Linked DNA regions of Mus musculus. The protein of the gene in region 1 interacts with the protein of each later gene in a pairwise test. Links are inferred from orthologs where the notes say so. Each region holds a gene or a part of one and is shown on either strand. Other genes may lie near its edges.

Evidence for each region. The genes of interacting proteins can lie anywhere in the genome.
Region 2: the proteins of Gad1 (region 1) and Haao interact in a two-hybrid assay, tested with the Homo sapiens proteins (4 studies listed by BioGRID and IntAct). The two-hybrid records come from large-scale screens. The link is inferred for Mus musculus from reciprocal best matches to the Homo sapiens genes GAD1 and HAAO.

What each region holds. Positions count from the first base shown.
Region 1 is NC_000068.7:70,593,129-70,596,628, forward strand, and holds part of Gad1 (glutamate decarboxylase 1), read left to right. Parts: intron 1-303; coding exon 304-382; intron 383-1,495; coding exon 1,496-1,645; intron 1,646-3,500.
Region 2 is NC_000083.6:83,830,854-83,833,822, reverse strand, and holds the end of Haao (3-hydroxyanthranilate 3,4-dioxygenase), read left to right. Parts: intron 1-1,427; coding exon 1,428-1,496; intron 1,497-1,913; coding exon 1,914-1,996; intron 1,997-2,101; coding exon 2,102-2,180; 3' UTR 2,181-2,469; downstream 2,470-2,969. UniProt on the Homo sapiens protein: Catalyzes the oxidative ring opening of 3-hydroxyanthranilate to 2-amino-3-carboxymuconate semialdehyde, which spontaneously cyclizes to quinolinate.

The sequences.
Region 1 (3,500 bases):
CTGCAAAGCCCCAGAGACCTTAGTCCCATTTCCCATCATATACCCCTAAAGCTCTGAGAACAGTAGGATATGTAAGAAGTAACTGGCTGCTGTTGTTAATAGCAGTTATATATAGCATTCTGTAGTGCAATACCTTGGGAGACTGCCTGAAGCATGCACTTCCCGCTGAGGGTCCATTTAGGAGACTGGGCAAGGAAAGCAGCCGTGACTTCCATGGAGATGGGCCGATGGGGTTTTCCTCAACAGGATAGGCTCTTCTTTCCCTTCCTCCCATCTTCTCAGAGGTCCCTGTGTGTCTTCCAGGGCCAATTCAGTCACCTGGAACCCTCACAAGATGATGGGCGTGCTGCTCCAGTGCTCTGCCATTCTGGTCAAGGAAAAGGTTTGTACTCGCTGGGTTAGCAGCCCCTCGGGAAGCCTGCAGGCTTCTTCCCCTCCCTCCCAGCTAATGCTGGTTTTCCTCTTGGCTCTTGGCTGCCCTTTGTCTTTGTCCAGTGCTTAGGGCCCTGCTGGTGATAGACTCTTCAATGAGCTTCTTTGGGTATTTCTTCATGTGTGGACAGACCTGAGAGTGGTTGCTGATCCCCATCAGTGAGAACAAACCTCGCTCACCGGAGCATACGTTGGGTTCTTAGTGGATAACTGTAGTCTCAAGAGCTGAAAAAGTTAGATGGAACAGGAAGTCCAGATCCCAGTGTAGGCAGCAGGAGCTGCTGATCAGAGTTTTGTAGGGCCAACAAAATGACTCAGTGAGTCAAGGCACTCGCTGCCAAGTTTGAGGCTCTGTGTTCTTTCATTGAGATTCACATAGAGGAAGGAGGAAACTCCCTCAAGTGTCTTTTGATCTCACACATACATATGTGAGTGTATGTAATACCCTCACACACACGAAATAAATGTGATTTCTAAAAGAGCTTCTGTGAGTGAGCTGCAGACAGAGTTTTTTCTCCCCACCCCGACCCCCACCCCCACCCCCACCCCCACATATACCCAGTGCACTGATGTTTCGTAGACCTACTGCAAGAGAGGTACCCACCTCAGGTGTCTCTTTTGGGAGTCAGAGCCCACACTGGCTCTCCTCCACTTACCCTAACATCACTGGGGGTCTTGCATAAATAAACTGGAAGACTTAGGGGGTAATATCTTTGGAGAGGAAGTTCTTCATAGCACCAGCTTCCCCACCTGCTGAGGTTTATCCTCCAAGCCCCACCCAAAGAATGACAAAGTAATTCCCCCACTTAAATGTCCAGATGTCTCTTAGAGGGACAGTGAGGCCCTTGTTTTAGACATCCAACACAAAAGAACTTTTTCTGACCTGAGTGGCAGAAGGGAGGCAGGGGAGGCAGAAGGCAGGGGTTTTCCCAAGAGTGTCTTTAAAGGACATCTGAACCTATGGCAAGCCTCAGAGGAAAGGAGGCGTGGGCCCCCGGCCCGTCCTCACACCCACATCTCTGACTGGTGAGGACAGTTGTTCACATCTTGATTTTTATGACAGGGTATACTCCAAGGATGCAACCAGATGTGTGCAGGCTACCTCTTCCAGCCAGACAAGCAGTATGACGTCTCCTATGACACCGGGGACAAGGCGATTCAGTGTGGCCGCCATGTGGACATCTTCAAGTTCTGGCTGATGTGGAAAGCAAAGGTATGGAGAGGAAATCCAGGAAGCAGGGAACTGTGGCTAGCCTGGGAACTGTGGCTAGCCAGGGAACTGTGGCTAGCCTGGGAACTATGGCTAGCCAGGGAACTGTGGCCAGCCCGGGCTGGCTAGTGACAGGGAGACAGTAATAGATCACAGATAGTTCACTGCATATGTAACTGTATCTGATTGAGTTAACGGTATCTCCTTTGTGAATGGGATAACTCTCTTTGTATGTCAGTTTTCACCTTTTTTGGTTCCTTCTCCTTAGTTTGAATCACCACAGGAAGTTCTTATTCTTATTATTCTCTTATTACTAAAAATTTTGCCAAGAGAAGGACTTCCACAATAATTCTTCTTAAATTTTACAAAATTTGTTTCTCTCTTCTCTCTTCTCTCTCTCTCTCTCTCTCTCTCTCTCTGTGTGTGTGTGTGTGTGTGTTTATGTGTGTGAGTGTGTGTTTATGAGTGTGTGTGAGTGTGTTTATGAGTGTGTGTGTTTATGAGTGTGTGTTTGAGTGTTTATGAATGTGAGTGTATGGTGTGTGCCTCAGTGTGCATATGGAGGTCAGAGGGAAACTTGCAGAAGTTGGTTTCCTCTTTTTAACATATGAGATTCCAGACCAAACTCAGACTATAAGGCTTGGCAGCAAGCACCGTTACCCACTGAGCCATATTGCCTGTCCTCCATAATAATTCTTAAGAACTCTAAAGTTATTTAGTACAAATAGAAAGAAGGTTAGAAAACTACTGTGTTGGTCTGGGAAGAAGGCAGCCAAGTAAAGGTGATCTGGATGTCAGAGCTTTGCATGGCCTCTGTCCTTACTATTTACTACTCCTTGTTAATTTCAATGATTTCCATAGTAAAGATTTGGACTAATTTTCCCTCCAAACACTAAGGCTTTCCAGCAATGTCTAGTCTGATATAGAAAAGACTGGCAGGTGATTAGTTTCCTTCCTCATTATGTTATCTCGTCTGAACGTAGAGTCTGGATTTGATTCTCCCACAACGTAATCATAGGCATTTTGAGCGTATAAATGCCTTTACTGCAATAAGAGAAAAAGCCCTGTCATTTTGCACTGCTGTAATGATCACATGGCCTGTCTCCATAATTACATCTTCATCTTGTCTAACAGTGGCCTCCTGAATTGTCTCCAGGAGGTTCAGCCCCTAAGTTGTGGAGGAAAGAGCCTGGGGTAGAAATCCTTTGCATGAGCGAGACCTCCAGCTCCACCTCTTGGGAAAGTTCCTGCTTTGCCAGCTCTGGATTCTGCCCAGGCTCTTCAGCCATCCACAGGCCAGCCTTGTGCATCTGCTCTCATTAACACCAACCCAATCAGCAGCCAGAAGGCTGCTCTGCTAATCAGCCATGCTGGCTTCTGAAACTCAGGCTCAGCTAGTTTGGGAGTAGTTAGAGCTAGTACAGTCTCTGGGCATGTGCTGAGAACCATGGCTTCCACACTTGCCTGCTGGCCCATTGCTGGACGGGGACACACTGTTCTATGGAAGGTGAATTGCCTGTGAGGACTGGGGACAGGTTTGGCCAGGATATATGGCGGGGAAGAAGCATTCTATCATAGCGTCTTTTAAAGTATGTGTGAAGAACTAGATGGTTGTTCCTTTCACCTATCATGAATGTGTTTAAGAAATGAAATGCAAAACGCAAGCCCAAAGTCACTACTTGTCGTTAACATCAATAGGTACATTTGTTTTAAAAGTTTCTTAATGGAACCAACAAGGTGACTTAGCCAGTAGAGGTGTTTGCCACCAAGAGTTTGAATCCCAGAACACACATGGTGAGAAGAAAAACCTGATCCCCATTAATTGTCCTCTGACCTTCACCCCCAGGCGTACATAAAG
Region 2 (2,969 bases), on another chromosome or scaffold:
TGGCCAGAGCTAGGTGGGAAGGCTAGCAAGGAGGCTGGACTGCTAGCTGCTTCCAGAACTCTGCTGCACTAGACTAAGGGAGGGGCCATGTCCTAGAGACATCGGGGCTTCGCCCACATGTTGGGGGAGAAGTCTAGAGTGAATTTCAGAGCCATCAGCCTTTCATTGTGATGTTGGGCCAGAGAACACCTACAAGGATGCTGCTATTCGCATGTGTGATGGGTTTCCAATGGCACAGCCTGTCACCAGGAGTCAGCGAGATGGCTCATTGGGTCAAGGTGCTATCTTAGGGTTTTATTGCTGTGAGCAGACACCATGGCCAATGCAAGTCTTATAAAGGACATTTACCTGGGGGCTGGCTTACACGTTCAGAGCTTCAGTCCATTACCATCAAGGCAGAAACATGGCAACATCCAGGCATGATGCAGGCAGAGCTGAGAGTTCTAGGTTGCTAGCAGAATACTGGCTTTCAGGCAGCTAGGATGAGGGTCTTAAGCCTACGCCCATAGTGATGCACCTACTCCAACAAGGCCACACATCCTAATGGTGCCACTCCCTGGGCCAAGCAGAGACAAACTATCAGAGATGCTTACTGTATAAGCCTGGCAATCCAGGTTTGATAACTGAGACCCACAAAAACGTGGAAAGAGAGCTGATGCCACAAGTCATGCATGTATGACCACATGTACACACATCATACATTCACATATAATGATGATGGTAATGATGAAGATAATCATGATGATGAAAAAGAAGATGAAAAGGAAGGAGAAGAAGGAAGAGGAGGAGGAGGACAACAACAGCAACAAGAAGAACAAGAAGGAGGAGGAAGAAGAGGAGGAGGAGAAGAAGAAGAGGGAAGAGGGCAAGGAAGAGGAGGAGGAAGACTTAAAAGTTAAACAGTGGTCACTCCAGGGCAGGAGGCTGGCAGAACACAGGTTTAGACTGCTCTTCCAGTACTAGGGACGCCCAAAGCTCCACCCACCACAGCCGTAGCTAATGGCTTCTTCCTACTCTGTGTCTACCTGCTCTAGCTCTCCTTTGCCAATTGCCATTAACCCCTCCTTACAGCCTGCAGGAGCGCAGGCTCTCGCTAATCATAAGGCCAGCAGGCCCCAGCCTCATGTTCTCCCCAGTCAGACGTTGAACACTTCACAGGAAGGGCAGTGGAAATCTGGGGGCCCGGGTTGGGTGTGTCTGAGTGTGAGCTGGTGACACCCATGAGGGCGTGTGTGTGTGTGTGTGTGTGTGTGTGTGTGTGTGTGTGATCCCTTTCTGATCCCTGACGAGTAGGCTCGTCACATGGGGAGGAGGCTGTGGAAGTGGGCACATCTTGTCCCTCGAAGGTGATAATGGTTAAGGGCCAGGGTTGTGACTATTTCCCAAATGGAGCAGAATCCCAAAACGCTCTGCTTTGTCTTCCCCAGGTCATTGCCCACGGACAAGGTAGCAGCAAAGGCCCAAGGCAGGATGTGGATGTGTGGCTGTGGCAACAGGCAAGTGGGATCCCAGGTTTGGGTGGCACCATTTCCTGTCCATGGGGGTTGGTTTGTCCCTGGACCTCAGGCTCCCATAGTGAGAGTTACTCTCAGGGCCTTCTTGCGAGGCAGACTCGGGGACATGAAAGCGAGAGTTGAGGCCTGATGTGCCCCCAGCCTCTTCTGTGGTTTTGTAGTGTTGGGGATGGAACTTATGGCCTCCTTATAAGAGCTCTACCATTGAACACCCCCTGCTTCCCCGTTCCCACACCCACCATGCATGTACTCATGTATGTGCACACACACACACACACACACACACACACACACACACACACACTTTTCTTATTTCAATGCAGGGTTTTGCTAATTCACTCAGGCTGGCCTTGAGCTCAGCCTCATCAGCCTTCACTTGGTTCTGCTGTTCTCTCACAGGAGGGCTCCTCTAAGGTGACAATGGGAGGGCAGTGTATAGCCCTGGCCCCAGATGACAGCCTGCTGGTGCCTGCTGGAACCTCGTGAGTATATGCCAGGACTTTCTGAAGCCATGACAATGATGCCCTTTTCCCTGGAACCCTTGGGCTCTGGCCTTGCCTGACTCTTATGTATCTGTGTCCCCACAGGTATGTGTGGGAGCGAGCACAAGGCTCTGTGGCCTTGTCTGTGACACAAGACCCTGCCCGTAAGAAGCCATGGTGGTGACCCTCCTGTGTGCGCCCCAAGCAGCCACAGGGTGCCTGAGTAATGACCTGGTAGCTGCCCATTTCCAGACAGCTCTTTCAGCCTCATTGCATCTCCATGGACATCAGCAGGCCCCTTGAGTGGTTGAGAGCTGTCACTGGCATCAACCCTCCTGCCTAGCTCAGCCCAGGATGCCAGACTCCTAGGACATCAGCAGTCCCCGATCTTCTAACAGCCATAGCCCTACACTGTCCCCATGTGCCCAGCAGCCTGACACTAAGAAATCTCTCAATAAAGGCATCCTGCTGAATGAGTACTTGCGAGTTTTAGGTGGCAGACCTGTGTTCCCCTGTCATGTGTTACTTGGGGACAACAGTTGCCACAGGGAGTTAGAAGGCCTGTTAATGTGTGTCATCACCTCTTGTGGATAGGTGGTTCCCTGTGCATGCAACCCTGATCCACACCCGCTCCGCATCCTGCTTATAAAGCCGCGTGCTTCTTTGTCTCTCCCTCTGTTCCCTGTTCATTCATTTAGTTGTTAACATACTTAAAAATAACAACAAACCCCCACTCTGCTGAGTTTCTTTCTCAACCACAGAAGTTATGTTATGCTAATTATGGAAAACAGAAATACCTCAAACACAGAGTTCCCCACCCCCAGAGGTAATCACTGTCATAGCTTCTACAAGTGGAGGAAAGGCAAGTGGGACATCTGTAGCTCAGAGAAGGACTTCAGCAAGAGGCCTGTAGCACTAAGCCTGCATCTGCACAGAGCAGGCCTTCCTGGGCAGCCTGGGCTCAGGGAGGGAC